Neodiprion lecontei: one gene and its partners. The protein of the gene in region 1 purifies or fractionates together with the protein of each later gene. This does not show direct contact. Links are inferred from orthologs where the notes say so. Each region holds a gene or a part of one and is shown in the gene's direction. Other genes may lie near its edges.

Region 1 (5,979 bases):
ATTATAATGCCCTGGAGTTAGTTTTCAAGGATTGAACAAATACGAGAACCGAATGTACTGCCAGTTCAATAAAACAGTGCATCGCCGACTGATGCCGTACGATCCGTCGACTGTGCTGTGCGGAATGCGGAAAAATCTCGCTGAGAAATTCGGACCCCCCTGGTAAAAATTTCTACCAGACAACGAATTTTCATAGAAGTTGAAACATCTCGTGTTACTTCGTACCAAATTGTAAATATGCATAGTTTTTCGCAAAGATATGTCAATCTTCGCTAGAAATTGCAGTATTTTGTACATTTTTTATCGAAACAACACAAATTTTCATGACGATCTACAAGTTTTAATGAGAAATTATGCATGTATACAATTTTGTACGATAAAAATTTTTTATACAAGATCTTACAAAATATCTCAATTTCCCTAAAAATTCGTGGGAAGATTGCAGCAATCATTTTCACCAGGATCATACAACACGGTGTGCCACTGTTCAGACATGGTTCGTACCTCCCGCCTACGAACAGGACAATCGCAATTTATAACGGTCATTGCGTTTATGCCAAAAGACTCACACCGTACAACATACGGCGATAACGAGCCGGTACGTTGGACGCGATACCGAGGTCCCGGAATATTCGGGGTCTGACTTATGACTGACGTGAATCACTGGTCCGCAGCGTCTGACTAACCATGAATAGACTTACCTGCGGTACAAGCAGTAATAGTGAGCAAGTCATCGCGAGGAATGTTACCCTGAATTTTTAGATATCACAATTTTATTTTTTTAATGTTTGACGGTGGAGGGGGGCGGGGGGGCGGGTCATGGGTAGTACTCTAGATCCAGAATTTCGACTACATTCTGCATTGGCTTCGGCCGCCATCTTGAATTCAAGTCGGAAAATATCGATCGTAGACAAAAAACCAAATCAAATCTGGTAGAAATTCTTGATTTAGATTGTCAATAACCTCCCCCCCCCCCCCCTCTTGCCGCCCCTGCCCACCCAACGATTAGAAAAAGAATCTTGTGATATGTAAAAATTGCAATTTCAAATGTACATTCCGACTAAACTAAACTGCAGCCTGAAACGACCGATTCTCGAAACTTTTATTATTCGGAACATAAGTATTCACGTTACACTGCAGAACGTGGGTTAAACCGAGGGTTAAATTCTACGGCAACAGGCTACCGCCAAGCACCGTCGGCGTAGGGACGCCGAATCGATCGATTTTGAACTTAAAATGCAATTCTGTGAACTATTTTACCTGTTCGTTGCGTGTGTGGCCTTTCCCGTTGGCATCCCGACATCGTCGTTTTTTACCAAAGTGAATCAAAATGGCGATGAAAGACGAACGTGGACGATAATTGCACATCGCCGCTCTACGACCTGGAAGAAGACATATTTTTATCCTGAAACAAGAAATGGCAATAAAGAGAACACGAGAACAACATTTCGGCGACCGGGAGAGTAGGCCTCCGTAATCAACCGCTTATTATGAAATCACCCGAAAGATTAAAAGATATTATAGGTACATAAACAGCTAATCACCTAGTGATTACGTTATTCGTGTTATAATTCAACGTGCGGTCGCTCTAAAGTCTGCTCAGGTATGTATTGATTTTTTTTATCTCTCCGTGACGAGCGCCTCACCTCGATGTAAAAATATTCATGCATGAAGTACGGCGCAAACTGAAGTTGAATTCGAATGTTCAGTTGTTTTCTATTTTGAAAGTATGTATCGATAACGACTTTTTATCTTGTCTCCCTGAATTTAGTTGCGAAGGACTAATCAAAAAGGATGAAATTAATCGGTAATTGTTTCGTTCTACCGCGAGCTGCCTCCCACGAATTTTGAAGGCCTGTGCAAACTTTTTTTTTCGATCAATCTATATATCGTTGACTGAACATGCATGTGTCTGTATTCAGTCAACGAAACTGTGCGTTTATCGAAGTTGATTCGGTCGGTAAGAGTAAGATTGTTACATGACCCTGATATTGTAAAATCTTAAGAACAAAGATTCACAACCTGCAATATGTGCTTCCTGAGCCGTATCGCTGATTGTTATCAAATTCTCCTTACTTTTTTTGCTTTTCGACCACGCTTCCATATCCTGCGACGGTGATTTGACCGAGATTGAATTTGCAGTCACTAGATGGTTGCAGGAGACGAAAACGGTTGTCAAAGATGGCGCTAGCTGTCGTAGAATTGCATTCGATTTCAACGTAACCATCGTCAGTTTTCGCGCCATTCGAAACGTGTGCGTACCGATCGAATACCAAAGTTTCTGGAAGAGAATTTATTTTGTCAACGACCAATTCCATCAAGATTTACAATGAATAAGCGGCCTTTTTCCGGCCCTCCGTCCAAGAAAAATAAATTCAGGCAAGCAGATATTGACGCACTATTAACTTTTAGGTTATCCTGCTTGACATCACTCTAATTTTAAAAGGCTGAATCTACCGACAAGCGTTTATCACACAGATAGTATAAAAATTTTGCAGCTCCGTAGTTAATTTTTCCAATACAAAATCATTTTTAAGCAGAAGTAAAATTCTCTTACCCATTTCTTGAATTTAGATCCTATTTCAGTCCATACATTTAAGTAACGTTATTTCACTCATTTTTCTTTAACAGGGTAGATGATGATGATGACGAATACCCAGGATCTTTTGAAGCGGAACTTGCCATCATGGAACAAATGGACGACGAGTTTCAAGACCCGTCTCAGGCCTCTGGGGAGGTATACACAACTGAACTACATAACAGAATGCAAAAAATTCCGTTACATGTCTGGCAATACTTGCTGTGATTGATTTAACAAAATTGATAAAAGTCCTTATTACCATCTTGAATTTCCTAGTCAATTTAAATCTGATGCACTGTGCACAGTCTTTATATTAAATTAAAAGTAAGTAAGGTCACCAATTTGGAATTATGGTATCAAACAGTGCTAAAGATATTCAACGTTCACAAAACGTGCAAAATGTTAAATAAATATTATAATTGTTACTCGGAGAATGATCCCCAAATTTAAATTAACGTCAAATAAATAGTCGTGTTAAAGCAAAAGTACCTAAACAAGGTGGCAAACTTGTAAAATTATTATCTTTTGTCTAAATATCCATAATTTACTCTTTTAGCCTGATCCTGCAGATCCTCAAATGCGAGTGAGAGTAAGTTCTCCTAAGACTTGAGCTCTGTATTGGCTATATACATGTCTTGTTGCTGTCTAATCATGCTTTGTTTTCGCCAGGAAATTCATTCTTCATCGATTTAACTGTTTACTTCACAAAACTCTTTTTTACAAAGAATATTCACGGATTTGAGTATTAAAACTATTATCCCATTATTCTTCGTTGAATATGCTTCCTCAATCCCTCAACGCACCTGCTTGCACCTTTTTGCACGTGCGGTTGACTGGTATCTTATTTCATAGTGATAATCATAATGATAATAATAATAATAGTAATAATAACAACAACAGCAATCATAATGATAATCATAGATAAAGTAACAAATGATATGCACAAGCATTTCACTAATCATATGTGGCAGTACGCATTTTGTTACCAAGGCTGCAACACTAGAACTGCTAACATGTTGCGACGATTTGTACGTATTTTTGGACTATTGTCATTTATATATGATCAAAACATCATACACGTTAATAGTTGCAAAATTTGTACGTAATTTTGGACTATTCTCATTTATATTTGATCAAAACGTCGTACACGTTAATAGTCGCAAAAATTTCATGCCTAAGTATTATTTTGCACATTTGGCCTGTCACTAAATGTTTCTGGGCAGTTGAAATGTTCTTTTAAAAAAATGTCTCATCCTCCATATTTTTCGAAAGTATGCAAACATTCATAAAATCTACTCTCGTTTAGGGCCCAGATCAAGAAAACACCTGTTCCAAATGGAATCGGCCAGACCCTCGGCCATTCAATCCTCAAACAGACTCGCTCACTTTCCAGCAAATAGAAGTTGACCATTATATAGGTAAATTGCTCTTGAAAAATATCACGTTTACACTTTATTCAACGATACACCAGCCAAAACTATTGTGTCAAACGTTACACAGTTTCAAACAACGTGAAGCTCGCATTATTTTACATGCTCGTGACTTCCAAGAAGTAAAAAATACATTCGTACAGGTATATTGCAAATAGCCAATTCCACTTCATCCCCAGACCTGGTGAATGCCTATCTGAAGACTTGCGTGTTCAGTAACTTATTACCCATTTCCCTCATTACGATCGTTTTACGATTCCTCGACTGAAAATTCAGCAAGAAATATTTCTCTAGGGCAGCCGCTGGCTGGAATGCCAGGAAGCAAAATTGGACCAGTAGCAATAATGAGAATGTACGGAGTCACCATGGAAGGAAACTCTGTATGCTGTCACGTGCATGGGTTTTGTTCCTATTTTTTTGTCACTGCGCCAGAAAAATTCAATAACTCTCACTGCAAACCATTCAAGGTAAAATGCTTCGTTCTCGTTGACTGACCATCTTTTAATCAATACGACATCCCCACCATTACAGGACGCTTTGAACCGAGCTGTATTAACAGATATGAGATCGAAAAATGATAAAGTTACAGAAGCTGTACTGGTAGTAGAATTAATCTACAAACAATCGCTGTACGGATATGCAGGCGAGGACTTGGTGCCTTTTATAAAAATCACGGTCGCCCTGCCAAAGCTTGTGGCTCCGTGTAAACGCTTGTTGGAGAAAGAAATGATCTTTCCAACATTCAGCGATCACGTGTACCAAGCCTTTGAAACTAACATCGAGTTTGATATCAGGTTCGCATACAATGGCTGTTATGATTATAGTTAAAGACGCTGCACGTGACTTAAATTAAAGAAAGCCAATCATACTGATCCGTCAATGCTCATGATACAGATTTATGGTGGATACGCACGTGGTAGGCTGTTCATGGATCAAGCTAGTCCCTGGTAAATGGAAATTAAGAGGCCATCCAGGGAATGACTTGCCTTTGACTAGCCGTTGTCAATTGGAAGTTGACGTTGCCTGGGACAATTTCATTGCTCATCCACCAGAAGGAGAATGGGCCAAAGTTGCGCCCTTCAGAATACTAAGTTTTGATATTGAATGCGCTGGACGCAAAGGTTCGTATACAGCGTAAAACAGATGCTGCATTTTGACTGAAATTATTAATTTACACCTGCACGGATTTGTTTGGCAGGAATTTTCCCTGAGGCAAATCACGACCCAGTTATTCAGATTGCGAACATGTTGATAAGACATGGAGACACCGAACCCTTTTTGCGGAATGTATTCACATTGGATACTTGCGCGCCAATTATCGGTTCTCAGGTACTTAGTTTTCAAAAGGAAGCAGTCATGCTGGAGGTAAGTTTCGTAAAATAGACTTGGAAATTCTTTGCGGATATATTCGAAAATCAGTAAACTGTCAACGTAATTCTGGATTTATGGAATGATTTCTTTGCCGAAGAAATGGGCAGACTTTGTAAGACAGTGCGACCCCGATATATTTACCGGCTACAACATCAACAACTTCGACTTTCCCTACCTGATAAATCGAGCACAGCACCTGAAAGTGAATTCCTTCAGCTACCTTGGAAGAATAAAGGATATAAAATCTGTGATAAAAGATCAAGTGTTACAAAGTAAACAAATGGGCAGGCGAGAAAATAAACATGTCAATTTCGAAGGAAGAGTGCCGTTCGATTTATTGCTGGTAATTTACTTTTACGCTTGCGATTCTCATGATTTTTCGTCTGACTCGAAATTTCGCGTATGAAATAGACCAAATATATTTCAGGTCCTCATTCGAGATTACAAGTTACGGTCGTATACGTTGAACGCGGTAAGTTATCACTTTCTCCAAGAACAGAAGGAAGACGTACATCACAGTATTATCAGTGATCTACAAAATGGGAATCCGCAAACACGCAGAAGACTTGCGGTTTACTGTTTGAAAGATGCCTACTT
Region 2 (5,656 bases), on another chromosome or scaffold:
ATAACGTGCCATTATGGCCCCCAAGTTCCAATACTTTTTGCGTACCAGGTGGCATCTGAAAAATTATACAATAAATTAAGTAAACACACGAACAATGGAGTTAGAGAATTGGGGAAAAAATTCACCGAGATGTAAAACTTTATTTACCTTGTAAATGTTACCGCCCGATTGTGTGCAAATCAGCATGTGACTCCCATTTTGGTCAAAAGCGAATAGCTTTCCATGTACTGAATTTTTTTCCACCTTAATTTTCATCTCCCACGTATTTTTGTTTGTCTGATTTAAATTTCTTTGACATAATCTACCGTCTTCGCTTTGGGCGCAAATATTCGTGAAGTCGTTTATCAGCTCGATGTCAATCACTGGACTTGAATGGCAGTTAAAATTATCTATTATTTCGTTCCTCCTCAAGTCGTGCATAACGATATTACCGTTAGATAGACCAGTTATCAATAGCTGTCCATTGTGATTGAACGTGGAACAGAGGGCAGTCAAGTTTTGGTCTAATGGTAGAGTTCTTTCTAGTTTCCTTGTTTTTATATCGTAGAGCAGTAGTTTCCCTTCACTGGAATCTGACACCGAACCTTGCACCGAACAGACAAAAGTAGATTCGGCTGGATTACATATCAACGTTACAATTCGGGAACCTTCGTGATGGATTTCCCATAATCTTTTACTATCCCTTGTATCGTGCAATTGAATTATTCCGTTATTGTCTCCGTGCAAAAAGTATCTTTCGTTCTTTGATATCCAATCTAGAGCAGTTATGGCATTGTTGGAATTTACCGTTGTTGATGTGAAAGTGGCGACTGTTCTGGAAAATGAATTGTCGGTTGGCAAAATATAAGCAATGTATGCTATAATTGTAACGATATTGCATTTTCTTGATTACTTTGGGGACGGAATCGGTGTCCATATTTTAATTACTCCATCTGCGTCACCAGTCGCGACGTAAGAACCACTTGCGTTGCTCTTACATTGAATAATTGACGTTTTGTGTTCAGTGTATTCTTCCTGTTAAAACGAAGGAACATTTTAGACAGTAAAGAATATTTAAAATCACTCGCATTCGATTATTTTCTGTGCATCAATCTCACCTGACTAAGAAGAATGTAGCTGGCGTCGATTTTCTCTTTATTTTTTCTCTCAAATGCCGCGTCTATGGGAGAATCTCTCTTCCTAGAACTGTTCAATCTTGAATCACAGCTGATACTTCTCTTGGCAACAGCTTCTGACTTGCTTAGCGAATTTATTCTACATTTTGTGTTTAGTCTCTTGGTGATCTGTTCAGTTTCCATCTGTTTTTTAACACTCACTATAGGTTTTCTACCAAGTACGGGACTAGAGCTGCCACCTATATTTCTTATCAAGTTTTTCAGCGTCTTCGGATTCTCTGTTAAAGGTGATTCTCTGAAATAGAGGAAAATCATTTAATCGTTACGCACTTGTGTACCGATTTTTGAGATTATTTCTGTTGGATTCAGATGTCGAGATCTTGGTTCTTACTGAGCTATGATATAAAAATCATCCATGATTGGTGGATGTTGAGGTACAGGTCCTGCATTAACATCCGATATTGTCTCTGGTTTGACCGCATCAGCAAGTCTCTGTTTCAAAGTGTCATTTTCCTCCTGGAGACGCTTAAGTCTTACCGAATCTTCATCTATAGCTAGCAACGTCGGCTGCGGCATACACTGAGACAAAAAAAAATAGATACAATCTACGTTTTGATTTGATTTGTATGACTTCTCTTATCACATCCTTTGAATAATACTCACTTGGAATATTGTAGCTAAAAAATTGTGCAACGAAACGAGCATGGTGTCTTGCCACTGCCTGCTGAAGTGAACCGAGTAAACAGGATTATCTTCGGGATTTTTAATAAATGGCAGCGCTGTGGATGCACAAATTTCGTTTCGTGAATAACGAGTCAATGATCTATTGGTAATACTGAAAACTAAAGCTAAACACTTTTCTTACCGAACCATTCCTTCCATTCGCTATGACCCTGGAGCTCCGGTGCCATTTTAATAAAAAACTCTTGGATACGATCCTGTTTGTTGTTAACCGCCGCGTTAACCAGGTACATTTTCAATACAGCATTTTCCAGCTTTCTTATACCAGGTGTGAAATGATTCTCAAGACGAGAAAACATTCTCAAATCCAAATGGCCCCATAATTCTCTCAGTGCATTTAGATCGTAGTTGTATATGTACTGTGTCAGCTGATCAACTATTTTGTCAACCTGTAAATAATAATTTTGCTTCTATAAAGAGCAATGGAAGAGAAAGAAAAAGTATATATTTGTGATATTTCATAGCAATATATTCATCGCTAAATATATGCAGCAATTTGAATGTTTTGCATCTCGTTTTGGGTTTTGATCTCTCATTGATAATTGTATAAGATCCTAATCTGATACGTATGTGTGAAGATATCGATGATTTGATGCGATAGTTTTCGTCTGTTATTGTTAAATAATTGTAGAGGGGCAAAACGTCATGCATCACTTACTCTAAATCCCTTCTCCTTTTCAGCTTTAAGATCGTTATCGAAGGCTTTTAACGTCTGACTAAACCCTCTGAATAACAAGTATTCCTTAACGAGTTCATCTACATACTGGACATGAGACATTTTCAATAAATAAGAAAGTTTTTTTGTTTCAACTGTTCAATATTCGAGACAATGACAGCTCTATGTTGTTATAACCCAGCCATTTTCCACTTGGTGGCAACAATGCAGAATGCATCCCTCCGATGCATACGAATTATCTCTAATTTGGCAACCATGGAACCTAACATAGCGCTACAAATTTGCTTTGCCCGCTTTCCGCTCGCGGTTTTTAATCAGTGTGCACAACGTCGGTCATAAAAATTCCCTAGTTCAAATTGTATCGCAAGTAAAATTGTCGCGGGATTCACGTAAAGCCAATAACGGAGTATACAAAACGTACAACATTTTTACAAAATGATTCGGAAACAAATTGATATTTACTTGGAGGCTCTTGCGGGCTACATTAACGACGACGACAAATTAGTAATTATTATAGATAATTATTCAGCGATATTACAATACATTTAAATTACTGTCATTTGCTCTTGTTAACTTACAATCTAACCTAGCTGAGTCTAGAACATATTCTTATGTTTATTTTACAGTTTGACATTCGTATTTCAATTCTAACGATATGAAACATTATTTCGTAGATCATATCTTCTTAAGTGCAATAAATGTTAAAGTGAGATTTATCTCACTCCAAGTTGTCTGCTCTTGTCACTGCTTTTTGACGTCAACCCTTCTTTCTGAAACATCATCTCATTTTTGATTATAGATATTTGTCAACAGGTTACTTACAAGTGGTTGAGCAAGGAGTTAGGCATCCACGTGAATTTGTCAAAGCAGCTGTTATTCGAGTACTGGGAAACTCAACGAGTGCAGAAAAATCATGTAATCAGTGCGACTTTCCTGCTCATGGGATACGTCAAGGAGCGAGAGATGCGAGTCGAGGTCGTCAAAGAGGATCATATGGCATCTGCGAAGGAGAAATTTGAAAAAATAATATCCGAGCATATTTACAGCTTGCAAAAAACTCTCCCTGAGATAGAGCTACTCGCCATTACTGACAAAGGCGATTCTCAATTGAGCGCTGTCCACTCTTCTCAGTCTGTTCTCAGGTCTGATCATGAGATGGAAGTTCTTCGTTGGGGTAGCGCCTTGTTAGCGAATAAACAGATGAAAAACAATACTCAGATTACAGCTCCGAAAGTTCGGGCAAATGCGAATACCGAGTCGAAGCTTACTGATCAGGCCAAGAATGTCAAGGAGTCCGGTGCTAAATCGACCACAAATAAAACAGCAGCGGCTAATTCGAGTGCAAAAACACAGAAAACTGCCTTCAACAATTTTTTTGCTAAGGCCATAGATAAGCAAAGCAAGGAGAAGACATCTGTGAAAGGTGTGAAGAGTAAACCTGTTGCGTCAAGCAGTAGTTTGACAACTACTTCACCCCATAAGAATAACTGGTTCGAGGAGAAGAAGAAACCTATTAGTTCGGACAACAAGGAGGCAAAAGAAAATCCGGAGAATATTAGCGATTCAAAAAAGCCTAAACTTAATGAAGACAAAGAAAAATCTCCGAAAACTAATTTACCGAAAAAGAATGCATGGTTTGAAGCAAAGAAAAAGCCTCCAAGTACCAGCGACAAGGAAGCAAAAGTACAGGTGGAGAGTTGCAGCGATTCGAAAAAGGCCAACGTAGAAAAGTTTGAAGAAAAATCACCACAGACTGAAAAAGTTAGCAAACAAGAATCGGCGGTGAAAAATCTCAGCTCTGGGAAAACTGGCGATAAAAAAAAAGTAGCATCTTCTTCACGAGGAAAAAAACGCAAGACTTCTTCAAAGGGCGAGAATACTAATAAGAAACGAAAACGTATAGTTGTGATATCTAGTGACGAATCAAGTGATGACAGCGAGACTAGGGATGATATTGAGGAACCTGATAGTTCTGAAGAACCACCGCAAGTTGTTGAAAGAGTTAAAAGTTCTCCTTCGCCACCTCTGGTCAAGTGTGAAGGCGGGAGGCGCAAAGTTCGGAAATTGGTCGATAAAACGTTTGTCGATGAAGATGGGTATTTTGTCACTCAAAAAGAATACGTTTACGAAAGTTGTTCAGATAAGGAAGAGGAAATGCCGGTAGAGGCTGCAAAACCTTCTACCGCTGATGTTGCAGCAAAGACTGCTAACAAGCGGAAGCAAGTATCGCTGCTTAATTTCTTCAAGAAGTCGTAGTTAACTAATACGTGGAAAATGTAACTGTAATGATGAATTAAAATATTCGTTGAATATATGCAAGTCATAGACGTGAACTATACTGTACATTACTGAATTTCAGCGGGAAAATATGAAATTACTCGCAATAAAGATAGAATATTTTTGATTCGTATTAAGGAAAGGAATAAGGAATTAGCGATGCTTTCTTTACAATCAAATTATGGAAAGTTATAAATTTTACGTCTATTATATTTGTTTCTGTCGTAATCTTTTTTTTCCTGTTACCTGATCAAACCCCTTTTTTTTTTTCTTTCTTCTTTTTCACGAATCCAGAACGTAGAAGTTGTGCAATCACAAGAACTGTACATACCGAAGAACAAATCTGTTATTTTTGTTAATAAATGCGCATGATATGTTTAGGTAGGGGTTTACAATAATACCGCGATATTTGAATACGTGTAAAAGCCCGGCGTTGACTCTTCTGGTAAGCCGTTCTCACTGCTGCCAAATATAATAACTAAATTTCCCCAGAATTTCGTAAAAGGTAGTCCTTTCAATTTTTACAACAGACTATCAGAAGCAAGTGTTTCTGTTGTATGTACAATTTATTTTACCTCTATTTAAACAGTTATTTACAGAAGATAAGTATAACGGAGTATTACCCTTCATTTCGCCTCGTTAAATACTGAAAGTCTATAATTATTGAGGCCATTTGCAACAAGGTAAGCAGTGCCAATATTGAAATCTGGCCACTTTAATAGTCAGTTTGGTTAGGTTTGAGATAGTTAATGTTTGTATCCAATATGCAATAAGTAATTAGGTTAAAGGTGACAGAAACTAGCGTTCGACCCATAATTGCCAGGATGAATGCGAGAATGGAAACTGA
Region 3 (8,151 bases), about 26 Mb from region 1:
TTTACTATAAACGGGTAATTTAACATCTCCTAGGGTTGTAGACAGCCTAAGTTTCAAAGTCATTTCTGTGCCTCCGTCGACGGGCTCTGTGGCAGAGAAAAAAGAAACAAATAGTTAGTTTAAGAAGATACAGAGCATACCAGTTTTCACTATAAACTAGAGATATACTTGATATTTCAGTAAATCTTACCAGAACAGTCAGCTGGCGAATCTCTACCGCTGTCTTCTTTAACAATATTTATTGGATATGACAAGCAGTAAATCGGAACCTGATATCTAGTTCCCAATTCATCGTAACACTCAGTTAAATATCCATTAGGCACCGAGACATTAGCTCCGTCCAAAATGGCCTGTGCTAACTGATAGTCTTGGGCCTCAGCCGCGGTCGCGCCAGCCCTTAAGGCGTCCCATATTTCTTTGCGGCCGTCAAAAGCTGGCGCGGTATCCCAAAATTCATCTCTCTTGCTTCTGAGTTGACCCTCGGTCAAAGGAACATCCGACTTCCATCTGATCACTTCGTGACAAAGTGGATGGTTTTTTCTTGAATTACCTGCATGAAATTGTAAAAATAAATGGCATAGTTAATATTTTTAACTTCATCTGTGACAGAAAGAAGGATTACAAATACCACGCAAAACTTTTTTTAAATTACGCAAAGCACGAGGTTTGACATTTGCTTTACAATTTTATCTGAGGTGAATACAGATAGGCTGAAAAACATCGTAAAATAATGATTATATACCTGTATTTTTTAACAGATATCAACAAATAGCTCGATCTATTGATTGGAATAACTAATACAACAATAAAAAATAAAAGAACTTGCAGCTTTGTGAATAGGTTTCAATCTGGCATAAAAAATAGTTCAACACTTAGTCTTTTTATTGAAAGAAAATCTATTGAGCCATTGAGGCTATGTTTGGTAGCGTGGATCGAGGTCTGACATTTGTTTTACTATTTAGGTCATAGCTTGACAAGGTTCGAACATGTACCTACATCAGCGAATAGAAATTAAAATCACAGGTAGAAGTGACTAAAAACGAAAGCTACATCGTAAATGAGGAGTATCGAAATTTTTTTTTATTTTCAAACTTTCTTTCTGCTTCTTTTTTTTATTCCTTCGTGATTTCATCGCGCGCAATATACATAATGTTACGAGTCGGTATTCTGGATTGGGGAAAAAAATTGAAAATTAAAAAAAAAAAAAAATGTGAACGTAAGAGACCGCGATCGAGTCCTAAATTGCATTTTGAATAAATTACAGTTTTCATGCGGTGACCCATATTAGGTGTACATGATTTCCAAGGTTAGTTGGTGTTTGTTGAAAATATTGTTTCTCACCTGAATTTGTCCTCGTAGAGTTGCCCGACGTGTCGTCAACAGAGCCGTTCCTAGCCCTTGTTATGCCTATGCAGCCTCCCATCCTAGGCGGCGAAAATAACCAAACATTTCACTGGAATTTACCAACACCTTACATGCCATTTTCGTCCATCTTTACCTATTTTATCATTCCGCCACAACGCGCGCTGCCATCACACAAAACCTTGTTAAAAAATCTCTTGCAGCTCGAACTCCTAGGACGCCTGCCTGGGTTGTTTCCAGTGAATGACGTATATGGTCTATGAAGAGAGACGACGACGTGACGGGAGGGTTGCACAAGATGATAGTAATAAATAATAATAAAAATAAGCGAAAAGAATAGTTTTTTTTTAAAACACGATTGTAAATTACTCCGTAGAAACGCGGACCTTCGACTGGCCGTGTCGTTAAATTTAATAGGCTACAATTACTGCTTTCTGTTTATTAAATTTAACCCGTTAAGATTTAACAGTTATCAAAAGAAAATTATATATGTGGATGTAAAAAGAAAGCACGATAATTTAAAGAATGACAAAATAAATCGTGGTTAGGGGGTGACTGTATTATTATATTGAAATCACGAAGTAATTAATTGTTTTTCAACTTCAGACGTTTCTTTTTTTCTCTCTCTTTCTATTTTATCTTCACGAAGGTTTCCTCATACGCATATGTATATGCTGGAAGTCAGAGATAATAACCTGCGGCGATTTTTCGCATGTAATGTTATTATTAGAATTCATAAGATATCAATAGAAACTTGAATCGTCAAGGACTTTGATAAATTAGACGTCATATTTAAGAATTTGTAGATGTTTTCGTATTCATGTACGCATTCTAAAAATCATCAACTGTGCACGATATTTTACAGGGCCATGCCGCGATGTCGAATAGTGCGTAATTATTCGGCGATCGCCTTTTGTGTTGGTAACTCTACACACTGATCACTCACGGTATTGAAAAATTCAGGGTGAAATATGGAGGTTTCAGCGAGCTCCTCACTCACCGAGAAGTTATCGGCAGCTTTAAAGAACGATAACGACTTGATTAAGGAATGTCAAGATATAGCCTCAGGTATGCATTATCATAATTACTTGACTAATGACGCGCCTGCTGACCTTGAAATATCAGGCAAAACAAACTTGTTGGGACTGAGGTTATCTTCTGTCTCTATCGCTCTGTCTTCATTTCGGAAAATGCATTCCATCAAAATTTTCAAAATGATCAGCTGACATGAAGAATATTCAATTTTTCGTTGGTCCCATATATTTTGTTCAGTAAATAATTATCCGTCGATCAAACCTCATGTTTTCACCTGCGAAGTATCTACTCTGCGATCGATACATCTCTCATTTCATATTTTCAGATATAGAATATGGAAAATTGAAGCTTGTGATTTTCGTTGAGGAACTCGCTCCGTTTCTCACTGACAAAAATGTTACTTCGAGAGCTCAGGGAACGCTTGCGTTGTCAACAACCCTGAAGCACTTGTCGAAAGATTTTCTAAATGAAAATGAGCTAAATTTTATCACAAATTTTTACTGTGATCGGATGAAGGATCAGCATGAAGTTATTCCATCGGTTTTACAGGGTGTCCTGACTATCGTGAGCTCTTATATTCAATATTATGTTTTAAAATAAATATCAATTCTCAGTCATCAATTTTCCTCTATAATTCACAATATGAACCAGTGATTACTAATTTTCACTACTTTCAAAATGTTACAGGTACAGATGAGCCGTTTACCTCAAGATTCGCCTGCTAGATTGTTGAACCTCATGTTTCAGCATGTACATTGTCAGTCACAGCTGCAGCCTATTCGAAAGTTGATATATTTGATATTCCAAACACTCCTACAAAATAGAAAAGATGCCTTACGTTCCATGGGGCCTGATTTTATATACGGAGTAATTTCATCTATAGACGGCGAACGAGATCCAAGAAATTTGATGCTGTTATTTGACATGCTTCCAAATTTTATTCAAGAATTTCCATTGGGCCATTTGACAGAGGAAATGTTTGAAGTTATTGCTTGTTATTTCCCAGTTGATTTCAATTCCGTAAGTAGCCCTAATCATGAAATTTTCAATTTTTGGTTAGTATGAAATTTTAATTCCTGTTTTATAATTATTCGACATTTTTTCATCTTGTAAATTTTTCAATCAATTTTACAGTCTGCATCAGAGGCTCAAACAGTTACTCGTGATGATTTGGCGTACGCCCTAGCACCTTGCCTTTACGCCTCTCCAGAATTTGCCGAATTTTGCATACCTCTCATAATCGAGAGATTAGACTCGAGCTTAAGACTAGCAAAACTAGATTCATTGTATCTTTTACGCAAAGGTGCTTCTACCTATGGAGCCTCAAGATTGCAACCACACCTTGCTGAATTATGGCCAATTATACGAAAAGAAGTCTTCCCAGGCGGGGATATTGAGATGAGAAATGCTGGATTAGAAACTATAACTGAATTAGTTAAAGTGTTGTCCACAGATGATGTAATACGAGACAGTTTCATCGAAAAAGTTATCACAGATACAAAATCATCACTGTGTGACGTTCAATTGAGCCTTTATTGGCCGGCTGAAAAATTGTTGGAAGCAGTCGCTAAGGCAAATAAATTAGCTTGTGCCCAAGTTTTGAAAACCTTTATACCATTGTGCCTTGGTCAATATTCAACAAAGACTTCTTACTCGGATAGAGTTACCTTAACAGAAAGTTTGAATAGTTTGATGGCAATATGCGAAGAGCAGAGATTTGTAATAAATAGTATGTCAATGCATTCAGCTCACATCAAACTTAGTAAAACAATGCACAATTTTTAATCTGTTACGTTACCAAATTTTACAGGTGTGCCCGAACTTGCTTGGACAGATATACCAACATTGTACTTGAATGCCTTAAATACTGATAATATTGAGCTAAAATTGAAGACTTTCTCTGGATTGGCAATACTGAAATCGTCGTTGAGTGACGTGGCCAGAAAACTTCTGTATGAAAAAATTTGTATGGCAGTAGATGATGGAAATAATCAACTAAAGAACACATGCCACATATGTCTGTCAACTTTTGCTAAAATTTATCCAAACGAAATTCTGGGTACCGTTATAAACCAACTAGCTATCAATGACTGTAAGCTTGAGATATTCATTAGCAAATTAACGTACACCACTTTTCTTATAATTAATTTCTTCAGTTGGATAAGACTAATGAATTAAAATTATTTCCAGCAAACACTGATAATACGGTATTTACTCACCGATTGCAAGCCTTATGTGCTGTAGCAAAAATACCAGAATTAGGTCCACAAATCCTACCTAATGTAGTAGTGGTAGCTATGTCTAATAAATTGGAAAAGAGTATCGCAGCACTGTGTTGTTTGCGAAAACTTGTAGCTGGGAGAAGCGATACATTCAGTATACAACATTTTTTGTATAAAAATTGTAACATTGTTGAGTTATTGGTATCAGCAGATACAAGTGGCTGCTCCACTCAAAAATTAAATTTAATTGCATCGATTTGTCGATCTATAGTTAGAAAGTTGGATGTGAAGGACCAACAACAAATTGTAAATAAATATGTTTCAATTCTTAGTGAAAAACTTTCCGAAAGCAATGTGATTGTATTGGAAGGACTTTTAACACCATTGCAAAGAAATGTTGATATTGCTAATAAGGTAAACTTGTTAAAAAATCTATTACACCTTGCAATCAACAGCGTCAGTTCGAGTTCTAAAGAAGTATCAAGTAAATTGATATCAGTATTGATAAATAAACAAACCGAAGACAAAAATTTCCTAATAGTTTTAAATATGCTGAGGGACCGTATCAAAAACATTTTGGAACACGATTCGAATACCGAGCTCAAAGAGTCAGCCATCTTATTGAATACGTGGCTGACGAAAGCTTTGGTTGTCAGAGGAAGCCAAAATTCTCAAGAGTATCTTGATTTCGTAAGTATAAGAAGACGTAATTCAACTTTACTTTGTACCATTTTATGTCACATGATATATTGCATATTTTCTACATCGGAGAATGAAAATTATGTACTAATCAAGATTTTATGTTTCTTATAGCACATAAATTTGCTGAAGGACATGGAAATGGGTCACAATGTTGCAAATGGTTTTAAAACTCTATCTGATAGGTTTGAGGATACTGTGACTGAAGAGAACTTCTGCAATGTTAAATTATTCTACAAACAGAGGATATTTCAGAATGTCATTCAAAAAAACAACGACTTTGATGCACAATCAAGAGAAAACTACCTAATGGCTCTAACACATTTAATCGAGGAAGTTCCAATGGAACTATTGCTCATGCATTTAGAGCCGGTAATATATATTTTATTTAATTTTAATATAACAATAATGATTATAGAGTTTACCAATTTATCACACGCGTGATAATTAATGAATTTACACTGCGATACATCATACTGTTATTTCAATGTGTTTGAATCTTTTTTTTTTTGAAGCTTATCCCACTCCTAATTGAATCCATGGCACTGGACAGCTCAGAGTTAATTCTGTCGACACTAGTGACCCTGAAAGTTTTGCTGGACACAGGGCACAAGATCTTCCATGAGCAAGCACAACACTTTATTCCCAAATTACTGAGTCTGACGAAACGTAGGGAAATGGTAATAATGATTCGCAGAAAATTTTCATAATTGTGCTTAAGTTTTAACTTGAAAAAAATTTGATCTTATTCCAATGGGTTTCATCAGAGTACCTTACCCTGAATACAAGTATCCAGTTTTACCTAAAATCCATGCTAGTTTTCAAACTTCGACTATTGTTTTATTTTTCAGAAAGTCAGAACTGCTGCATTGGAATGTTTGTTGCATTATGCAAACTACCCGACTGTCTTGATTCTACCTTTTAAAACGGATGTCTTGGAGCGATTAGCTGTGGCGATCGACGATCGAAAACGTTTGGTCAGGTCAATCGCTGTGAAAGCAAGAACTCGCTGGTATCTTGTTGGGGCACCAGGAGAACCGAAACAATCTTAACTCAGACGGAATAGCCGATTGTTCAATTCATTATTATAGTTTCATTTACACAAATGAATTTAAGAAAGGAAAATTGAACTTTGCCTGAACAGTCTAGATAGAATGCAATGAAAATTGCTTCCTCAGGCGAGTCTTCCCTGAAGACCTTTATCGTGGTAGCTGATGCCAATGTGTGATTTCAGACAGTTTCTGCCGTTACTGTCTTTTATTTTTGGGAAATTCTATAGATATTGATCTGTACTATAGTATCCAATGTTACCTTCAATCGTCCGTAAGGTACAGGCGAAAGACTTATCACGTAATAATATGATTTATTGCATGAAATCATAGAATAATGACCTATTGCTTCTTTGAAGTATTTCACAATTTTTATTCATTCTAACAACCGCAAATCAAAGTGATTTCCTGTTGCATATTTAACTGGAGTACTTTGCATTTGAAGTATTGCTAAAACGCCCAAAAGTTTTTAAGAATAAAAAAATATTGATACTGTCTCATGTTTTAACATAAAGGTTGTACAGTGTGTTGAAGAGAAGTAGGTACTTGCTAAAGATATGGAATATATGCACATGTCGATTTTACAAATGTCCTATTAAGTGTAGGTATGTAAATAAATTATGTGATTTCTGAAAATTTGAGATTGTTCTCAAGTATGCGTTTATTATGTCAGTTAATAAAGTAACTATTTTTTACGGTTGAAATCAGGTGGCATGGTTAAACGATAGATTTGTGTTTTCATTATATTTCTTTACAATTTTCAATAAAACTTCGTAGGTACAGAATCTATAAAATAACAATCTGCTCCAACTATACCTAATTGAATCAGGCATTGATCTGGAGTAATTGGATTACTTGTGGAAGCCACATTTAATGTGTTTAGTGTGCCGATACAATGGTTGACGGTAAGAGGTGCCCGATATTTCGTCTGTTATATTTTTAAAAAAATTATTCCCCGTCTACAAAGTAGAACTGTAAAAAAAATATTTATATTTAAACTATTCATCATTGCCCTATCAACAAAATTTTTCACAAATTTAGAAACCTAATCTGAATATGATAGCAAAATGTATCCAGCAGGTGGTGTGGCCAAGAACGGTGCTTACAAATATGATGATGGTACAAGGTACGTTGGTGATTGGAATGGCAGGGGTTTGAAGCATGGAGCTGGATCATTGGCATTGGTTGATGGAACTCGCTATGACGGTGCCTTTCAAAATGGCTTGTGTTCTGGGCTCGGTGTTATTGTATTTCCAGATGGAGCAAAGTAAGTTTTGCTTTGATGTAAAAAATCGCTAAAAGTTTGAGTTGTTAAAAATTAGCGTACCAATTAGGTACTCAAAATTATCATCATCGTTTATCAATGTGTAGGTATGAAGGAGAATTCATGCAGGGCTGGTTTCATGGACACGGAGTATTCTGGCGCGCCGATGGCATGAAGTTTGAAGGAGAGTTTCGAGGTGGCAGAGTATGGGGACTAGGTACTCGTCTTATTTATAGAAATCTTCAGACTGGATTATTTTCCAGTATTCATAGATCATAACAGTGAATGATGGGTTGATTGCTGATAGAATAAAAGCTTTATTGCTAATGCTGACAGCGATTTATTAGCTTATTATTCAAATGCATGGTTCTAACTTGCTTTTCGTTTTTTACTAGGTCTGGTAACTTATGCCGATGGTTCACACGGCTTTCCAAGAAACGAAGGCTTTTTTCAAGATTGCAAATTAGTGCGTCGTAGACGATGTCCAGAAATTATTCAAAAAGCTCAAAAAATCTCTATG

The links.
Region 2: the proteins of DNA polymerase delta catalytic subunit (region 1) and DNA polymerase delta subunit 3 purify together in Homo sapiens (co-immunoprecipitation; 8 studies listed by BioGRID and IntAct, with this or other methods). This does not show direct contact. The link is inferred for Neodiprion lecontei from reciprocal best matches to the Homo sapiens genes POLD1 and POLD3.
Region 3: the proteins of DNA polymerase delta catalytic subunit (region 1) and MMS19 nucleotide excision repair protein homolog purify together in Homo sapiens (affinity purification with western blotting; 3 studies listed by BioGRID and IntAct, with this or other methods). This does not show direct contact. The link is inferred for Neodiprion lecontei from reciprocal best matches to the Homo sapiens genes POLD1 and MMS19.

The regions. Positions count from the first base shown.
Region 1 is NC_060265.1:933,137-939,115, reverse strand, and holds the start of DNA polymerase delta catalytic subunit, read left to right. Parts: upstream 1-2,112; 5' UTR 2,113-2,329; coding exon 2,330-2,379; intron 2,380-2,631; coding exon 2,632-2,737; intron 2,738-3,137; coding exon 3,138-3,170; intron 3,171-3,177; exon of another isoform or gene 3,178-3,444; coding exon of another isoform or gene 3,445-3,609; intron 3,610-3,887; coding exon 3,888-3,999; intron 4,000-4,305; coding exon 4,306-4,478; intron 4,479-4,542; coding exon 4,543-4,805; intron 4,806-4,905; coding exon 4,906-5,132; intron 5,133-5,209; coding exon 5,210-5,376; intron 5,377-5,479; coding exon 5,480-5,725; intron 5,726-5,809; coding exon 5,810-5,979. UniProt on the Homo sapiens protein: As the catalytic component of the trimeric (Pol-delta3 complex) and tetrameric DNA polymerase delta complexes (Pol-delta4 complex), plays a crucial role in high fidelity genome replication, including in lagging strand synthesis, and repair.
Region 2 is NC_060262.1:4,435,964-4,441,619, reverse strand, and holds DNA polymerase delta subunit 3, read left to right. Parts: upstream 1-2,875; 5' UTR 2,876-2,967; coding exon 2,968-3,036; intron 3,037-3,331; exon of another isoform or gene 3,332-3,345; coding exon 3,346-4,788; 3' UTR 4,789-4,846; downstream 4,847-5,656. Other genes in the region: WD repeat-containing protein 91, read right to left, coding at 1-55, 148-814, 893-1,014, 1,098-1,410, 1,507-1,694, 1,779-1,894, 1,981-2,245, 2,515-2,634. UniProt on the Homo sapiens protein: Accessory component of both the DNA polymerase delta complex and the DNA polymerase zeta complex.
Region 3 is NC_060265.1:27,432,829-27,440,979, reverse strand, and holds MMS19 nucleotide excision repair protein homolog, read left to right. Parts: upstream 1-2,291; 5' UTR 2,292-2,333; coding exon 2,334-2,430; intron 2,431-2,722; coding exon 2,723-2,961; intron 2,962-3,084; coding exon 3,085-3,417; intron 3,418-3,531; coding exon 3,532-4,126; intron 4,127-4,207; coding exon 4,208-4,489; intron 4,490-4,587; coding exon 4,588-5,309; intron 5,310-5,432; coding exon 5,433-5,690; intron 5,691-5,833; coding exon 5,834-5,998; intron 5,999-6,169; coding exon 6,170-6,370; 3' UTR 6,371-7,005; downstream 7,006-8,151. Other genes in the region: ubiquitin domain-containing protein 1, read right to left, coding at 1-86, 191-550, 1,342-1,423; MORN repeat-containing protein 4 homolog, read left to right, coding at 7,263-7,272, 7,445-7,634, 7,739-7,848, 8,027-8,151. UniProt on the Homo sapiens protein: Key component of the cytosolic iron-sulfur protein assembly (CIA) complex, a multiprotein complex that mediates the incorporation of iron-sulfur cluster into apoproteins specifically involved in DNA metabolism and genomic integrity.